4 linked regions of the Drosophila melanogaster genome follow. The protein of the gene in region 2 interacts with the protein of the main gene of each other region in a biochemical or structural test. Each region holds a gene or a part of one and is shown on either strand. Other genes may lie near its edges.

Evidence for each region.
Region 1: of the proteins of Sumo (region 2) and Ulp1, one has a biochemical effect on the other in vitro, tested with the Drosophila melanogaster proteins (one study listed by BioGRID).
Region 3: of the proteins of Sumo (region 2) and Aos1, one has a biochemical effect on the other in vitro, tested with the Drosophila melanogaster proteins (one study listed by BioGRID).
Region 4: of the proteins of Sumo (region 2) and dl, one has a biochemical effect on the other in vitro, tested with the Drosophila melanogaster proteins (one study listed by BioGRID).

Annotation. Positions count from the first base shown.
Region 1 is NC_004354.4:19,202,152-19,210,039, reverse strand, and holds the start of Ulp1 (Ulp1), read left to right. Parts: upstream 1-1,852; 5' UTR 1,853-2,006; intron 2,007-2,247; 5' UTR 2,248-2,280; coding exon 2,281-4,967; intron 4,968-5,103; coding exon 5,104-5,976; intron 5,977-6,048; coding exon 6,049-6,213; intron 6,214-6,272; coding exon 6,273-6,474; intron 6,475-6,553; coding exon 6,554-7,168; 3' UTR 7,169-7,888. Other genes in the region: CG14195 (uncharacterized protein), read left to right, coding at 1-421, 494-842, 912-1,219.
Region 2 is NT_033779.5:6,966,235-6,969,596, forward strand, and holds Sumo (small ubiquitin like modifier), read right to left. Parts: upstream 1,411-3,362; 5' UTR 1,274-1,410; intron 1,152-1,273; 5' UTR 1,067-1,151; coding exon 794-1,066; 3' UTR 546-793; downstream 1-545.
Region 3 is NT_033777.3:12,431,999-12,435,540, forward strand, and holds Aos1 (activator of SUMO 1), read right to left. Parts: upstream 1,825-3,542; 5' UTR 1,734-1,824; coding exon 1,627-1,733; intron 1,560-1,626; coding exon 1,131-1,559; intron 1,075-1,130; coding exon 597-1,074; 3' UTR 535-596; downstream 1-534. Other genes in the region: Prosalpha2 (proteasome alpha2 subunit), read left to right, coding at 1-3, 69-224, 289-463; Srlp (Spliceosome-ribosome linker protein), read left to right, coding at 2,245-2,347, 2,419-3,204, 3,264-3,511.
Region 4 is NT_033779.5:17,447,355-17,452,303, forward strand, and holds the start of dl (dorsal), read right to left. Parts: upstream 3,011-4,949; 5' UTR 2,522-3,010; intron 2,015-2,521; 5' UTR 1,942-2,014; intron 1,157-1,941; exon of another isoform or gene 924-1,156; intron 1-923. UniProt on the Drosophila melanogaster protein: Embryonic developmental transcription factor. The lateral or ventral identity of a cell depends upon the concentration of this protein in its nucleus during the blastoderm stage.

The sequences.
Region 1 (7,888 bases), on a different chromosome or scaffold from region 2:
GCCGCTGCGAGCCGCACTGGCGGCCAACTTGGTGGCGGACCAGCTGGACGGATTGGACACGCTCTCATGGCGGAATCCGGCCACCACCGAAATGGCCACGCCCAGTGGTGCCGTCGCCGCCGCTGTGGTGGTGGACACGCACAGCAACTACATGCTGGCCACCGATGAGGCGTATGTGACGTATGTGAATCCCAACGGGGTGGAGATTATGGAGATCATACCCGAGGAGGACGAGACGGTGTCCATGATGCGGTCGAGCAATGCGACCATCGACAATTATGCCATGTCCGCCTCGCAGATGTCGCACAAGTCCCTGTCCAATGGACGTCTCTATCCACTGACGCCCCAGCATCCTTTGGGCACAGGAACGGGAACTGGTACAGGTAGCTCCTCACCCCTACCTCCCGATTATGCCAACCTGGTGAGTAGTGCGCAGGCTTTGTGGAATATGGTGACCGGATGTGAAACCTTTCCGTATGCTCCTCATTTTCAGCGCCGCATCCGGCGGATGTCGCGTGCGGTAACCACGCACCTGTGGTGGAATCTGCTGGACAAGATCGCCATGCCGCTGCAGCAGGCGCTGCTGGTGCCGCAGCTGTACGCCACCACGCTGCTCCTCTCGGCGGACATCTTTAGCTACGTGATGTGCCTGACGGTGCTACCCGGACTGGCGGTCAGCCACCATGCGCTGAAGAACGCCGAGATCCCGTTCCTCTTCTCGCTGCTGGCCTTCCCATGGATGTGCTTCTCCCTGATGACTCCGCGCTTCGGCACGAGCCTCTATAAGCGGAAGCTCCAGTGGCACACGCTGGGCAGCATCTGCAAGTGCCTGGCGCTGATCTGTGAGTCATGATACCCGTTTCAAGCTTTCCCCGGGCCATCAATAGATCCATCTTTTGTTTCGCTTCCAGTCATCAGCTTCTCCACCTCCAAGCTGCTGCTCAGTGTGTCCGCCGTGCTGCTGGGATTTGGCCAGGTGGTGACCGCCTTTCTGCAGGAGCTGGTCTTCCAGATGGGCATGACGCGGGCCAACTGGACGGCCATCCGCCGTCCGGTGCACTTCACCAACGGCCTGCTGGTTCTCCTCTGGGGCGCGCTGGCCCACTGGGTGGTGGAGCGGTACTCCTTCCAGGCCACCGTGGGACTGGCCGGCGCCCTTTACGGAACTACCACGCTGCTCTGGAACTTCCTCTTCTTCTGCTGCCAGAGCAAGGATTGAGGGACTGAAGAATTCGCGCACTCTCACACAACAAGGCATCGTGTATGTGTGTGTGTGTGTGTGCTGCTGTGGCTGACGTTGTTGTTGTATTTGTGCAGTGATATTAATAAATAAATATATAAACTATAAGCAAGCTACATACATTTTAACATAAGTCTTAAAAGTCTTATTACGTCAATTTGAAAAAAGAATGGAATGCTGGCCTTTAAAATATCCCTAAAGAACTGCTACAGAAGTAGCTATAGCCTTTTAGCTATTTTTCCATTAAGCTGTGCTGACTACTGTACTTTGGAAATGTGGACAGTTTTTTTCCGATTAAAATAAGTTTAAAAGTATAAAATGTTGCGTTCATTCTAGAGATTGGTTCAATTTTTTAGAAATCTGTCGCACACTAAAAAAAATGCATGTTCTTACAAAATTCGCTGTGTAAGAAATATTGAAAATATTGAAATATTATTGGAAAATATTGACGAAAAATTTCCCTTTTCACCGAATTTGTCGTATTTTTACAGTAAGACTAAATGCCGTTATTTCCTCAGATATTTCTAGGTAATTACATTCGCTGCGTGACGAAAGCTGCCTGCTATGATGCGGCAGCCAGACCCAACACTGTTGGCCGATATCGATTGGTTTGGTATTATAGAGCAATATCTTGTACGGTCATACTAAGGCACCAGTACGCCAAAACCGAAATTTTCTTTCTTTACTCAATTTTCATCGAGCTAAGTTGCGAAAATTTTCTCAAGTCACAGTGAAAAGTGTACATTGTTTAAAACCTGGCCAAGGGGTAAGTGTTTGTTGCAAGGCGCTTGTGGTGTGGCACTCAGTGCGGTGCAATAGCAGCGTCGGCATTTTCCGGCGGCCGCAGAAGTGGCACCAAGCAAAGACGGCGAAAAACAGCGAAAAATGCGCAAAATCGGGCTTCCTTTTTGCCGGCTCGTTTTCCTTTTTTGCTTATTCTTCTTCTTGCGATTCTTGAAAGCGAATGCGTGTGGAAAAATAATTTCTGATTAAATTTCAATTTGCAGCTAAAAGTAGCGAAAGCGGTAGCGAACACACGCATGTCGCTGCCTCCCGAGGACACCGATTTGTCCACAAATTCCGCATACGAATCCGCACTCCAAATCGCGAGCAATGTGTCGGCAGCACGAGTAGTCGGTTCGGCAGTAGGACAGCGATTTTCGCCGTCGCCAGCAGCTCACCCGAACGTGATTGAGCGCGTCGCGTCTCATGTGGACTCACGCCGCAGCACGTTTCCAAGTTGGGGTAATCCGTCAGTAGCGCCAAGAGGATCGGAAGAAGCAGCAGCCAACGCCACAGCAACACAACTCCTATGGGCGGAGAACCAAGGTCTCCCGACATCGCACTTATTGCCAACTGAACAGGCATTCGAGACATTGAACACTAATGCGTATTGTTCCCCGCCAGGGGATTCACGATTTACGTTCCCTAGCCAGAACTACTCGCCGCTGCTGCCGCGGTGTGTCCCAGTTCCGAATCAGCGTTACTCTCCAGATGGATCGCCAATACATCAACTCCATGAGCTGCAAAATTGTCCATTGATAGATTCGCCGATAAGACTGCGATTTCCATCCCCCTTGCCAGAACCACCATCACTACCGACCATCACCCTTACAGTTGATGCCCTGATCGATCTTGACCAAAACAACCAGGTCGCATATTATGTCCAGCAGTACAACAATCAGCCAGTCCTATATCAACAAAACATTCATATAGGAACGGGAATCCAACTATGCGATCAGGCCTCCGAGAATAATCAACCGATTATATTACATATCGTGGAGCACAATCCCCAGACTATAACTGAGAGCCAGGAGCAATTCCACCAGGTTGTCCCCGAAATTCAAATCAATAATATCCAGGAGCAAGATCAGAAATTTGAAAATGGCATCTCGGAACAAAATCATCCGATTGCAACTGAGGCTCAGGATCAGACTTTAACTGAGATCCGGGATGAAAACCAGATTGTCCTTGCAGTCCAAGAAAAAAATCTCACGCGTGCCTCTGAGATTCAGGACCAGAACCAACAGACATTAACCGAGATCCCAGAGAAATGTCTTCAGATTGCATCTCCTGTCACTACTGATATACAGGTACAAAGTCCTCAGGTTGTAATAGAGATCCAGGAGCAAAATCACCAGTCTGTAACGGAGATCCAGGAGGAAGTTCACCAGACTGCCCCCGAAATCCAAGTGAACGTTTTCCAGACCTCGTCTGATATTCAAGGGCAAAATCACCAGATTGTAACTGAAGAGCAAAATCATCAGACTATAACCGAGACCCAGGAGGATTACTCGGCTGTCTCCGAAATCCAATGGGAAAATCTCTCGTTTTCTGCTGAGATTCAGGAGCAAAACCAGCAGATCGTAACCGAAGTTACGAAGCTTGCATCTCCTTCTGTTACTGATATACAGGCACAAAGTCCTCAGTCCGTAATCGAGATCCAGGATGACGATGATGAAGATCTAAAGTTCGAATCTGATGATCTGCACACTATACCTGAAATCCAGGAGAAAAACCAACAAAGTCCTCAGTTCGTAATCGAGATCCATTATGATAATGAAGATCTAAAGTTCGCATCTGATAATCAGGAGCAAGATCAACAAACAGCCGAGCTCCAAAAGGAAAGGTTCCAGTTCGCATCTGAAATCGAGAAGCGAGATCTGCAGATTGTTACTGACACTCACAAACAAAATTATCACAATGTAACCGACATCCCGTTCGCAACATACATCCAGGAGGAAAACGAGCAGTTAACACCGGAAGACCAAGAGGAAGATCAACATTACCTGAATTTTGAGGGGAACCAACAATTCCAGCTCCAGAAGCAAGATCAGCTGAGTGTACCACAGATCCAGAAGCAAACCCACCAGTTCGAATCTAAGGTCAAAAAGAGAAAGTTGCAGCCCTTTTCTGAATACCAGCAGAAAGGTCAGAAAGATCATATCCAAGAGAGGCAGTATATTCAGCAGGAATTCACCATCCACTCTAACCAGGCTTATTCTAAGGTCCAGTATATACAAACTATACAAACTGCGACTCCGTACGTACCTCAATTGGAAATATCCCAGGAAAACAGTTTTGAGGTTCAACCAGCATACGAGGTAAACGAAGGCCAACGGGACAGAGAACTGGTTAGTTACACAGGCCACGAGCATCAGAACTTTGTTGATGAGGTCTCGACACCATTACCGCCCGCTGAAGCTCAACCAGGATCTACTTCAGAAGATATATCAGACCCCGTTTCACCTGAACATTGGGAGCAGCTAGAGTCACTCGATCCGAGCACTATTTGTATTCGCAAAACCTTCAATCTAATTCGCGATATCTCTGAAAGTCTGGTGGCCGATCCAGAGCAACCCGAAGCCGAAGCCCACCGGAAGTCAATTTTCCTTCTCCGCCAGAAGCTAGCCGATGTGTGCCATAAGGTTCTAACCGAAATTATACACGGCCGGGCCACCGATGAGATCATCTCCATTCTGAGAGAGATTCTCGAGCAAACTAAGGAAATACCTCCACGCCCCACGCCGAAAAGAGACCTCCAAGAAGACATTTCGATGGGCTTAGAAATATTAAAAAAGATCCGTGGTATGCTATCCGGTTGGTATTCTTCCAGAGAAAGCGAAACGGACTCCACGGATACCGGAACGGGATTCCAGGCTCAAAACGGAAAAGGTTTTGGTGCCGGCCGCCAGCCGGAAAATAGTTTTTTATCCCAGAAAAGACGGTAAGCATTAAGAATTTTATGTTATTTTTAATTTTGTTTACCTAAATCCAACTAGGTAAGCCTGCGCAACAATTTTATGTCATTCATTGCTACTCCCATGTAAAAATTTCAATTAATGTTTTTTCTCTACTTTCAGCAACCAAGAAGAGAACCCTCGTCTGATCAAGTACCGGCGTGTGGACAACAGCTTTCCCCGCTTGATAACGAATGAGACGGCCGAGGACCTGATTCCCAACAATTCGATGGCCAAGCGGGATCAGCCCCAGAGCTCAAAGCGGCTCTCAATATTTAATCCGCCGGTATACACGCAGCACCGAGTGCGCAATGATGCCCCCCACGTACCTACGCCATTTGACGATGAGGAGTCGTCACAGAGACTTGCTAACGCGGGCCCATCATCCAGGCCCATGACTTACTCGGATGCGGTGCGTCTAGGCCATAATGGCATCTCCGAGTCGCGCGTAAATGGGCACTCCAGCCATACGGTGCGCAGAGAACCGTCTCGGCTGCACAGAAGCATTCTGTCCCACGAGATGAACTGCAAGGATCAAGAGCAGTATAACGAACTTATCCGTACCCAAACAAATTACGTGGGCAGTCGCTACCTCAAGCCGGGTACCCCGCCAACGTTTCAGCGGGCTAAAGCCCAGTCGGCAACCAGTAGCAGCTGCTCACTGCAAGACAACCAATCGAATATAACAGATTCGTTCCCGTCGCCACATGGCCGTGCGAACCCTGAGCTAACGGAGTACGCCAAATTGATCAACCGCCAGGAGAATGAGGAGAACAGGTCTCCGGCACCACAGCAGCCAAAGCGAAACGCTAGCAATAGCTCTGCCAGCCATGCGTCCACTATTTCCAGCAGCGCATCTTCCTCCTGCAGCACTTGTTCAACTTGCTCATCTTCTGACACTGAGCCAATGTTGGTTAAAGATAGCCCGGAGGTCAAGGAAGCCAACGAAGCCAACGAGGCCAACGAAGCCAACGAAGCCAACGAAACCAAGGAAAAGTAAATAAATGCTTTATATCCAAACGTAAATAATTTGCAATAATCAAAAATCCTGATTTTATCACCAATTAGTGACGCACCTCAACCTACAACTACCAGAATCAAGAAACCAGACTTCTTGCACCGTCGCTTTGCCAACTGTATCTTTCTAAGGAATGACTTTGCGGAAAATTTCAAAGCAAGAGCGAATCGCCGGCAACTTGAATCCATGCATCTTCTTGGAATAGCTGAACAGCAGTAAGTATTTGTAACGCTATAATTAGGCCCAGTACCAAGAGGCTTTTTTCCAATTTTAGGGCTAATGAAAGCAAAGATGAACGCCTTGCCTATGAAAAAAAGCTGCGGGAAGTCATGTTCCGGTCTGGTGCTCCCCACCGGCCCTTTTTTGAAATCGGGCCCCTGGAACAGCCGGAAGAGAAGAAAGAGACCAAGCTCATTCCGCTAACAAAGGAGGACCACGCTCGCTTTCAAGAAATGACAACTATTGAGGTTACGACGGTAAACGAATATATTTATTTATTTATATGTGTACCCATTTAAAACGTTTATATGCTTGCGCTTTAAAATCTTATTTCAGAACTTAATTTTCAAATATAACCTACAAATAACTACCGACGACATATTCACGTTTGTTGATGGCGAATGGCTTAACGACGCGATCATCAACTTTTACATGTCCATGCTGACGGAACGCTCGGAGAAGCGAGCTGGCGAACTTCCCGCCACTTACGCCATGAACACATTCTTCATGCCCCGTCTCCTGCAAGCTGGGTATGCAGGCGTTAGGCGCTGGACTCGCAAAGTGGACTTGTTCAGCAAGGACATAATACCGGTGCCAGTGCACTGCGGCAACGTCCACTGGTGCATGGCCATCATACACTTGCGTAACAAGACAATCTTCTATTACGACTCAATGGGAAGACCAAACCAACCGGCGCTTGATGCTCTAGTTAAATATCTGCACGAAGAGTCACTAGACAAGCGCAAACAGCCGTTTGATATGACCGGTTTCGTTGTCGAGAACGCGCAGAATATACCACGTCAAGGGAATAGCAGCGATTGCGGTGTCTTCAGCTGCATGTTCGCCGAGTATATAACGCGTGATGTTCCGATTACCTTCTCCCAGGCGGAAATGTTGTACTTCCGCACGAAGATGGCCCTGGAAATCGCCGACGGAAAGTTGTGGCAGTAGGGGTTCAAGCACAAAACTACGCAAAAATGGAGAATTCAGTTCTTTACTTATTTTTACAAATCTTACGTAAACACTCCAAGCATGAATTCGCGACAAGTACTTAGCCATCGAACGAACTCGTTTATTCGATAGAATCGAGATGGCTGAGACCCCTGCTGGTGCATTAACTTGTTCTCATATCTGATTGTAAAAGAGAATCTATTTCTTCAATAAAATGTCACCAAGTAAAAGCGATGCGAATAAGGATGTATTAATCGCCGAATATCTTCAAGTTTATAATTAATATTTAGAATACAGCAAGCTATGAATATGTACTAATGTAATGTAATGTACTGCTCTAATCCTAACTCTAAACTAGGAATTACTGGATTTCATATTTTTTTCTTACATTGTCTTTTCTGTTTCATATCGTTAAGTTGAAAAGATCAGAGCCGCTGATAATTGAAAATCATACTAATACTCCAGTTTATTTTTGAATTTATCGGTTTTTTTTTTTTTAAAGAAAATGTCGCTATATTCCTATAAATTAGATAATATTAATAAGGAATCAATCTTAATTTAGTATTTTTGAAAATGTAGCTTATTCAAGCAAATACTTATTATACAAATATAGGTAAATGTGGGTTAATGGTATTAGTTTTGTTTTTGTAAAGATTTTCTCTAACCCTTAGGAAGTAGTACACCTTTCATAACCTAAGGTACATAATGTAATATAATTTA
Region 2 (3,362 bases):
TACATATCTACTTTTTAATTTTTCATCATAGTTTTTTTTTACACAACTGTACCTTTGAAAATTTAAGCACATACGCACATACATCATGAATGGTATGTATGTATACATGGTATACATACACAATCATCATGTATGGCTTGGCTTTCACAAACACACAAGCGTATTACTAGATCCCAATTTTGAGGTTATAGTTACCTCTATGTAATTTCCAGAAGGTTCTCAAAACTGACGTCATTTTTTTTTCTTGTTCAAATTTGAGGTTATGTTTTCCCAGACTTCGCAAATTCGCAGGCGTATATGTATGCTTGTACTTTTCCCGCAAATTCAGTGTTCTCCGATGTGTATGTATATCAATTTGCACGCACACACGCGCACTGGACCCAGTCCTGCTCGCACACAGACGTGCCATGCCAATGACAGTGTGTGTGCGTGCTGTTTAGAAAGAGGGTCACAAAGCGGGAAATTCGCACCGGCTTTTCGTTGCAGAAGGGCAAAAACAAACGCCGATCAGGCGCAGGAATAAATAGCGAAAGACGGCAAATTTTGTGTAGTTTATAAAATGCTTTATTTACCATTTTCTTGTCTGCAAATGTTTTTGTTATTTACGCACACAGACGCATTTAGAATCTACAGTTGTACTAAAAGCATATTCAATCGATTCTTAGGGCCTGGTTTGTTGGATTCTTCATGTTGTTGTTGTTGTGTTTTTGCTTTTGTGGTTTTTCTTGTATTTTTTTCTTTTTCGTTTTAAGTGTGTAGTTGTAAGAGGAGTAACTAACTTAACTAAGTAATCTTATGGAGCGCCACCAGTCTGCTGCTGGTAAACCTCGATGGTGTCGCCCTCCTCCATCTCCAGCGAGGTCGGAGTGTCGTTCTCGTTGATGGGCTGTCCGTCGAAACGGAAGCGCACCACCTGCATGGAGAGTCCGGCACGGTCGCAGTAGGCGTTCATCAGCTTCCTCAAGGGTGTGTGCTTCTTGATCTTGAACTGGACGACGGCGTTGTCCTGGCCGAGGACCTTCAGGTTGATGTGCTCGGTCTCACCTCCCTTCTTTTCGTCAGACATGTTGATTTTTTGGTTGCTTGTTGAAGCTGCTAAGTGGTCAAAAAAGTTTTTTTTTTCTTTTGCGGAGCGTCGAATGCCGGGCGTGCTGTACGAAAAAAAACGAGGCAAAATGTCCAATTAAGTACGCGGAAATTGGTAAACCACACGTAAAAACTAAGCACAATACCGCGGGGCAGCAACTAATCGCGTAGAAATGCAAAAATTTACCTGATTTCCTCAAATTCAGTGCTTGCTGATGGAAGTTGAAATTTATCACAAGCGGCTTCCTTTTGCTTCTGCTACAGCTACACGCCAAAAAAACTGGTGCTGGACCTACCTCGTTAACTTTTGCGATACTATCGGTGTGTATCGATACACGATAGGTAGTCGATAGATTCGCCAGCAACCATCCATTATTGTCACTGTTTCGGTTTTCGGTCACGTTTTTCCTAACAAGTAATTTTGATATATGCCGAAAAGAAAAAATATTCAAACAATTGGACTAAAAAATGTAATGCTAAGCACGCAATCGATTTAAATAGCATTTAAAGCATATTAGAGAGTCAATATATATGTTTAATATAAATATGAATGTTAATATTTAAATAGAAGCATAAGTATTGGGATGGTTCGTAAAGATGAATATTACGGAAAATTAAAAAAAAAGTGATATGAGAATTGCAATTCAAGCAATATCTATACCCATAATTAATTCACATTACTTGTTAGCCAATGTGAGCAGGGCCACATCAAATTATTTAACTATCGGCGAACATAATTGAATTTTTCGAGTTGCTTGTAGGCCAGTGTACGCAGGGCAGCATACAAATATTTAACTATCGGGTACTCAATGGCAAAGGGAATCGAATTAAAGAAAGGCAGAATAATAAGTTACTGGGTAGTTTTTTGTAGCATTCGACAAGATTACGGCTAAAGTTTATATTCGCATGCAAAATACAGTTAGAATATTCCAGTTTCTTTATGTTGCTGAGATAGCAGTCAATTATATCGATATGTCGCCTATTGATATACGCAGTATGCCATTTTAGAAGCAAAGGTAGCGATCAGCTGATACCCATTACTCGTAATATAACTGGGTACATAGGTACTTATCGGGTTGGAATGAAAAATGCTTGCTATTGATATTCAATGTTTCATCCTTGAAATTAGTCCCTTTTACTTTAACATTTTCTATCATATCCGCTTATAATAATTTGCGACATATGTGAATGTTTTCCAATAGAGGTCGCATTTAATGTCCATAGATTTCACAATGCTTTATTTGCAACAAATGTATACATTTTTAAAGAGATTCCAAGGACGCCACTGCAAATCTTCTTATCCAGGACATATAGACCAGTTTAACAAGCGAAAATTGTAAAAAATTCAAGTCATCTTGATAAATACTTAGAAATGAAACAAGTACTTTTTCGTGTAAGGAGGAATTCTTTTCTTTATTTGATCAAATCTAAATGTGACATTGATCTCTGTCCGCTTTTCTTAATAATGGTGTAATAGGAAAAATGCCCTGCTACACAATAGTTTGTTTCCCGTATGTCGCACGGTACGAAAAGGCAATTGCATGGATCCTGTCTGCCAAACAATACAATACAAAAATAAAAGACCCCCAGAATTTTGTCACCGTCCGCAATCCAAAGTGGAGGCTAACCAGCTCGAAAGACCCCTGACCTGACCAACCACAACCAATCGTTACCAGTTACCAAAAGCAAACCTTTGCGCAGTTTTCTGTTTGTTCTATGCGAGTTTCCGCCGCGGATTCGTCTTCAGTACGATAACAATCAGCTCAACGTACATGAAAAGATCGAAATGGTAAATTGGTTACAGACATAATGGATGAATGGAGTAGATTGCCACAGGCCATCGGAGCAGTTCGCAATGTGTACCAAACAGAGGAAAGCTCCCTTACACTAACTCACTCATCCATCCGATCCACGGCGGTTAGGCGAGGATATCGTAATCTTACCGGGGCAAACTTACGGAAAAGGTTTTGGTTTACAAAATTTCTTAGCCCGGAATCAACTTACACGCCACACCACCACACAACACAGGCAACCTAGAGCGGAGGAGATTGGAAAAGTATTGCGGTAGCTGTCTTGATTCTAGAGCTGTCCTAGAACGGTAGACGCATGGATTAGTGAGGTTTGTGCGTAGACCAAATTACCTGATGTGGGCTTGGAATTTAGACTTGGGCATGGGCTACGAATACTGGCGGAACTAATTTTCGTTTTTGGATTACTGTTTGTTTGATTAAATACTTATGCTTTTGCTTTCACACTAGTCAGAGTCAGATTTTCAA
Region 3 (3,542 bases), on a different chromosome or scaffold from region 2:
CGGGTAAGTGTGCGCGCTTTTCTCGACTTTGGGTTCCCATAGATAATCGTATGCAATCCCACCAACAGTGGCGTTCGTCCCTTTGGCGTTTCCCTACTGATCTGCGGCTGGGACAATGATCGTCCGTATCTCTACCAATCCGATCCTTCGGGCGCCTACTTCGCCTGGAAGGCCACTGCCATGGGCAAGAACGCAGTGAACGGCAAAACTTTCCTGGAGAAGCGGTAAGTACCAATAATAGTACACCAATTAAAGTCGCAAGTCACTCATATTTTCATCAACCTGCAGCTACAGCGAAGATCTGGAGCTGGACGACGCTGTTCACACCGCCATCCTTACGCTGAAAGAAGGTTTTGAGGGAAAAATGACTGCCGACAACATTGAGATCGGAATCTGCGATCAGAACGGATTCCAGCGTCTGGACCCCGCCTCAATCAAGGACTACTTGGCCAGCATCCCCTAAACTTAAACGCCCCGCTAAGATTACCACAAGCTAAGCTTTCTTAATAAGTACGGGACATTAAAAAACCAATAAAATTTTACAACTGGTGTTATTTGATATTCAGATTTTTATAAATAAGCCCTTTGTGGTAAATTCACTTCGCTCCGATGGCCTCAACGTATCCGGCACAAGTCTCTGGGTCAAAAACGAACAGATTACGGTGTGGCGCCTCCAATTTAGTAACCACCTTGATGACCTCTTGTGCCACAACGCCGCCGACAACAGCGACCGCTGGCGAGATCTGTGCAAAAATCAGACCTAGAGCTTCGTCGCCCAGTATAGAGTTGGGCAGCAGTTCGTCGCGAATTCCGCGAAGCAATTCCAGGTCAGCTTCTCGGGTCTTGTAGCTGGGATCCCGCTTGTGGGTTGTGCGGAACTTTTGCAGGACACTTAATAGCAAAACACCCGGGCCATTGCGCTTCAATTTTCGCAAATAACTAGGCTCGGTAACATCGAAATCAAGCCAGGCAGAGTAGCCGGGATAATCCACATCACGCTGCGTTGGAATGGACACGGTTTCATACTTCTTTTTCTTCTCCGAATTGGCTACGACCTTGTGCTTAATAACATCCCTGGAAAAAAGGTGGACATTAAGTTAGCAATGGGCAATGGTAGGTAGGGAACCTACTCGACGTAGCTGTGCTTCTGCAGACTGGCAAAGTAGAACCCGAAGGTGCCCCACACATCGGTGGCTATGAACTTGACGCCCAGGTCCCGGCAAATGGTGTCAATGCGCAACAGTTCCTCGTTGGTCGCGCCATTGACCACCACAACGTCGAACTGACCGAAGAACTCAGAGGTCTTCTCCTTCAAGGGCTCGCGGTCGGCGGAGATGTCCACCATGGGATTGAGAGCACGTGCCCGTGTCAATGATGCTTCGGCCCGGTTGGTGTTCAGCGATTCACGGGGGACAAGGAATTGTGAACAAAAGTCCTCCTCGGTTACGTCCTTGTCATCCAGCAGCTTCACGGAGTTCACTCCGGACAGGATGATGTTCTTGGTTATCTCGGCGCCCAGGCCGCACAGTCCAGCGATGAGAATCTTGGCCGTGCGAAGGCTTAAATCGAAAATATATTTTAGCGCATTATAGCGCCATTGCGGAATGCCGGTTTTTTTGCACTCACCGTTTCTGAGATTCCAGACCCCAGAGTCGGATTTGTCTGTCGTACAGCTCGTTCTCCGCCTCAGTGAGCTCCACGGCTGTCTCGCTGGTGTCCATATCCACGACCATTATTTATTTATCAAGTTTAAAATGTATTTTTCACAACTTAATACAAATTTCTTGCAACAACTTTCAGTGAGACGCCGCAACAAGAAACTAACGCCTTTTGAAAATGCCAAAACGCCTTTTGCAGAATCAGTGCTGCCAACTGTTTTTGTACGTACAGAATAAAACTAAATAAAGCACTTAAAATCTAGCACTTATAATTATAATATTTATAATTTTCTATACTGTACTATACTATACTATATACTATTCTATAGTTTTTATAACATCCTAACAACAAATTGAGGTGAATTTATTTTGTAACTTACCGCCAAGCAAACCAAGCTTTAAAATAGCCAAGTTTAGCGGGAAAAAGCTAACACAATAGGATTGCCACAAAACGGTGGCAGCTCTGTAAGACAATTACTATCGAATTGTTTTTACGAAATCTGACCAATATTTAATTTTCCGGTAAGTCTTTAAGCTTGTTGCTCTCCATTGTGAAGAATAATTGATTGCCATTTTGGCTTAGATCATGCTTCGCAAATTTGGAGGTCTGTTGGCCCAGCAGGTGGGTCAGCAAGCACGTTTCACCGCCGCGAGTCGCACATTTTCCTCGACAAAAGCGCTGCACAAAGGTATGTAAGTCGGCGAAAAAGCCGGTGACATAATTTGGACTTATACTGTTGTAACCGTTCAATCGCTACAGATCCAGCGACCCAGGAAGCAGAGGCGGCGCCACCGAAGAACATCCTTGTGGAAAAGGATAAGAACATCACGCTGATCGGCATCAATCGACCGCAGCAGCGTAATGCCATCGATTCGCTTACTGCATCGCAGCTTTGCGACGCCTTCGCCAATTTCGAGGCGGACGACACGTCGCCGGTGGCCGTGCTGTACGGCGTGGGCGGCTCCTTTTGCTCCGGCTTCGACATCCTGGAGATTAGCACCGACGAGAAGGAGGAGATCAGCGTGGACATCCTGATGCGACCGGAGGGCTCCGTGGGTCCCACGCGTCGCCAGATCAAGAAGCCGGTCGTGTGCGGCATCAATGGCTACTGCATAGCCAACGGTCTGGAGCTGGCTCTCATGTGCGATCTGCGCGTGATGGAGGAGTCCGCAGTACTGGGATTTTTCAATCGACGCTTTGGAGTGCCAATGCTCGATGCCGGCACCATCCGGCTGCCGGCTATGATTGGATTGTCGCGTGCCCTGGACCTGATACTTACGGGACGTCCGGTGGGCTCCCAGGAGGCCCACGACATTGGACTGGTCAACAGGATTGTGCCCACAGGCACGGCCTTGGGCAATGCCCTGGAGCTGGCCACCTGTCTGGCCAAGTTCCCGCAACGCGCGCTCATCCACGATCGCAACTCGGTCTACTCGAGCACGTTCGAGACCTCAACGTTCCACCAGGCGGTGCAGAATGAGGTGATGTTCACGTCCCGTGAAATCATCGAGGACATGCAGAACGGCATCAAATGGTTCAACCAGAGTGAGTTTCTCCAGCGCCAGTGGCTGTACATTTTCTCAATCCCTTATATTCCCATGCAGCCTTCAAGCCGGACACCACGCATTCGTGGCTAAAGCGCGACCGCTCGATGGCCGACTGGGACGATGAGGAAGTGGCTGAGGCTGCAGCGCAGAAGGAAAAACTAAAACAGGAGCAGGAGGCTGCTCTGGCTGAGGCCGAAAAGCAAAAGCAGGCTGAAAAGGCGCAGAAAAGGTCGAAGAAGACCGAGGAAAGTGCGGCTGAAAGTGTCGATAGTAAAGATCCCAAGGATAAGCCAAACGAAAAGTAGTTGTGCCATATCCAAACAAAATTATCTGTTC
Region 4 (4,949 bases), about 10 Mb from region 2:
TAAAATAACGTTCTACTCGTTCAACGATAACTACTTTTGGCGAAAAATAAAAAAAAAAGGTAAGTAAACAAAATAAAATGAACATTTCGTTTCGATCATTTAACATGCTAATTTTATGCAATTTCCAATAGCAAAGACACACAGAAAAAAGTTCTTTTGGCGCCAGCACCACAAATTAAGATTAAGATCAACATCAAAGCATCAGAAGCAGCCAAAAATTCCTCAGTGAAACGGGTTCCGCAAAAAAAAAAAAAACAAGAACTCCAGACAGACAAATGTTTTTTAACGATCGTTGGCGTCAAGCAATTTACAGCTCAAATAAAAATAAATAACCGATATGCTGACAAATCGATGGAACTAGTTGCCAAAAGCTATGTTTTGTATCGTATGAATACAAGTCCATTATCCTTATTTTCCACACCAAACAATGTTTGTTAAATTAGCCGATCAGGGATTATTGTGCACATGTGACTTCCGGCAAAAATGCAGATACATATCTTATCCGTATCTCCAATTATAACGGCCACGATCTTTCTTATCGAGTGGTTTAAATGATATTCGCCTAAAATAGAATCCCTATTGATTGATGATTTGCATAGCGGAGGGCCTTACCCACAGCCAGATCGTGTATCAATCATGACTCGGATTTAGCATACGGGGAAACTACCAGTAGATATAACCAATATTATCTATTGACTTGGCCTTAGATCTCTGTTAGCACACAAATCTCTACTCGAGCTTTGTAAATCGCCGATGACTTGCTGGAAACGAGTTGAGCGATTTTAGCGCTTTGATTTTCTTTGGTCCCGGAGACGAGAGTCTGATGTTATGAGTCAGCACACGGTTTGCATTTAACTTGGTTGCACTTTTCGAGTTTACACCGTATTAGCAGCTAAAAGCATTTCTTCATTCTTCATAATTACCTGCGAATCAAACCAAGAACCAGTGAACACTCATGACGAATTCGGTTTCACTTTTTGCTTTTATTTGGGCCACAAAACGCACACTAACCGCAGTTTGTTCTTTCAAAATGGTACTTTTCAAATTATTACTTAAAAATAATATCGAACCGTTAGGGAATTTTAAAAATATTTAATAAAAATAAAAGAATGTTAGCGCAAACACGACCGCAGGCGCATCGAGTCGATCTTAGAATGAAACAATTGAAAACCTCTCCGGCGTATTTGAGTGGCAGCAAAAAATAAATAAATACAAGGGGCAAAAGCTTTTCCACGAGCCCCACCCCCTCTGGGCCCCACGGCCCCCCTCGCCCACCCACGTGCCCGTAAGAAACTTTCATTTATGGCGACGTCGAAAAGCCACTGCGACTGCGCTGCCATGTACACAGGTGTTTCGGTTGTATTATTTAAGTTTATCGTTTGCATTCACCGTAGATTATTTAATACGCAGGTGGATAATTGCCACCCAAAAAACACAACAACAACAACTGCGGTTACACTACAAAGGATTGAATACGTTCTAATAGTTTTTTTTTAACATCTTAACTATTATTTGTCATGCAGAAATTGTGAGCTATTACAAATCTTAGCATCCAGGAATTTTAAACATTGTCAAAATGTTAAAACTATTTAGGATGAAAAATATTAATATGCGAGAAAAGTGACCAGTCTTGGTTTATCAAACCTTAAAAGTGTGAATAATGGTTGATAAATCACGATGTTGTTGCTGTAAACATTGTTCCGAAACGATAAGGCGTCCAATGACTCAATAAGGTTATATTTTTAATATGTTTAATGCAAGATGCGTTTCTTTGTAATGACATTTTGCGTCTTTGGAAGCAATAGTTGTGTACATATTTATTAAAATATCAAGACCCTTCTCGCAAAACGCAGCCATTAGGATTTTCCACCGCACTTTATTAATCCGTGCAATCAATGTTCAGAATCAATAAATTAAGCTAGGCTCTATAGGGGGACTCACCTAAGTCAAGGAGTGATCTGAAATCTCGCTTATATGCATTGATATCACTGGGTTTGCTAAGTAAATCGGACACCTGAAATTCAACGCGAACCAATTAGTACACTTTTATGTACATTATTTGTTAAGTTTCTTATTGTGTTAATTGGAAAATTAGTCCGTTGCACAGCGAGCTAAATAAGCCATTTATTTATAGTTGAGAAATATGGCGCTTTTTTCATGTTAATGTTAACACATACACAAGCACGCACGGCAGGAACCGGTTTATTTATTATTTTTTATATATAAATAATTTATTCTTCCCTCCCTTTCTCACTCACTCTCTCTCTCTCTCTCTTTCTGATTCTTCTTATTTTATTCTTTTTTAACTTTTGCGCGCGCACAAAGCGGGTGCGATAATATCGATAATAACGACAAAAACAACGGATGGGGGAGAACAGTTCGAACAGAAACTAATGAAAAGTTAAGAAATCGAAGTCCGAAGAAAGAGAGAGTGGGCAAAGAGCGCGAGAGAGCGCGTGACGTCGATTTTTTCTAGGGAATTCCGGGCTTTATGCTTATGCGATCATCGACGTACGACTACCTTTTGTTTTTGTTTTTCGATTTATTCGATTTATAATTTAGGGTAATTTGTTATCGCGCTCTGCCCTCCATTTTCTTTGGTTATTCTTGCGATGTTTGTGGTTAAAGTGTCGATGTGCCGTGTAATCTAATCGGTAAACGTTCAGTTTTAATAGAAATTATCAATACGTGCGCCGAGTTTTTTATTTTTGTTTTTTCCTCCGTTATATTGGTGGGTCTCTTTTTTTTGTCACTCGTAATACGAAAAAGCAAGTGAAACTTGCTTAGAGCTCAATTGAATTTATGCGTTTTTATGCAGCTCTTTTACTTTTCGTTTTATTTTTATCTACTGGTATTTCAACCTGCCTTCGAGCTCCAGAAGAGCGAAAGAGAGCGGAAGCTTAAAGCACAGCGAAAAAGGTAAATAAGGCACAATTTGGAGGTGGAGATAAAATACCCGTAACACACGCACTACCAACCGATCTCGACGCCCGCGATTTGAACACTAACTGCCCACCAAGAAGAAACAGGCGAGCCAAACTTTCAATACCGTATGCGCCACTGAAAAATACCGCAAAACTTGCAGATCGCGAAGCTTTCAACGGAGTTAAGTAGTCGGCCCCAAGCTCTGCTCTTTGCAGTCTCGACTTAAGCTCAGAAGAGAGACAATCCGAAGAGCCTAGCTTGGCGAAGAGTGCGAGATCAGCATGTGCTGAGTCACGTACGATTGAAGTTTTCCACTTGCGACTTATAGCTTACAGATGTCCACATCTTCCACAAATCCGAGTTTCGAGGAATACGCGATGATTGCATAAAGGCGAAACAATATATACATACATATAATATAAATGTTTTTATCTGACTGATACCGATTAGTAGGAATGCAGGCCAGTTGTTTCTTTCAAAAGCTTTTAAAATGTGTCACCTTTTAAATCTATAACACGTATTATATTGAAGGAATACCTAATTAATTGAAAATGCATATCTTTTTATTAGGAGCATCCCAAAGGAATCGGAAAATATAAATATTTTGTTTTTCTTAAATATTGAGAATTCAACTGTATGGTAACCAATCATCAAGAATTCGATTTTCAATGTGAGATTCGTTTAAATAGCCGAATATTCCAACTATATATGCATATTTACGAAAAGTAAAATATAAATGGAAAAAATAACTTCCGTCATTTATCTCAGTGTCTTTCACATGTGACTCATCTCCACGAGCGACTGCCTCCGAAAAGCTTTTTCAGCTTTTATGAATGAAACAGCACGGTGAGCACTAACTATCTGTGTGTGTGGCTGCGAGCTATCCATTTAAGACCCCACTCCCACCCATGCGGTTGGGGGGTCTGAATCAGCGTACGATTCCTGGAAAAAGGATAATATCCTGCGCCGGCATTTGTTGTGGCATTAATTTCCACTGCGGCAGAGTCTCAATGCCGTGACTCACTTGCTTCGTGCTCAGCATTCCGGAGCAGCTTTCACTTTCCGGGCGGAGGACCTCTGACATTCAAGACGGCTTGTTACGCGGAATTTGATAATATTGCTGATTCACCTTCTGGGGAAATGGGGGTCAGTACAGTTGATAATTGAATACATCGCTTAAAAAGTGGTCGCACGTTAGATAAGGATTTTTATGTTTTGGGTTTTTCAGCTAATTAAACCAAATTATTAAATATGAACGATGAATAGAAAATATAATTGTCACATTATTTGGAAAACGAAATATTATCAGTTTGAAATACATGCGAAAGAACCAGGTAGTATTTTTATAATTTCATGACAAAATTACAAATAAGTACTAAATGTTCCTATTTTATTACTGTGAAAAATTTATAAGTAAATAAGAATAAAAATAATATTAATTAAAGTTGGATGGTCGGTGACACAAAATCCACATGCTTAAGTTCTTCCCAATACTACGTACATATGCATAAAAAAGGACTTTCCGCCATTATCGTAAATCGTTATCAAAACCACACTGGCACGAAGGTCATGCCACCTGGTAAACATACATACATACATAAGTGCACGTGAGCTAAGCGCAAATAAATAGGAATTATGTCAAATGTTAGTATTGAAATTCCACATCAATTGCCATCGCCGCCCGTGGAATTGGAGTGGGGGAATTGCGGGACTAAGTCAACTCGCAATGTCTTGATGGCACGAACGTAGAACAACAACCCGGTTAATGGAGTCCAGACATCGATCAAACAATGGTGAATGGAGAAGCTCCCACTCCCACAAGGCCGGCAACCAATTGCAGCGGGTTTTCCACGAAAATCACGCGATATTCGTCCAGTCCCGCGAGGTAATTTTTAATGGATCCTGCCCCCTTATAAGCTGACACGTGCTGGGGCAGTCATTTTCATGTACATACACATATGTACATTTGCACCCCGTGTATACGACATTATTGATTTTTTCCGGTTGTCGGACTTTCGCCTTAA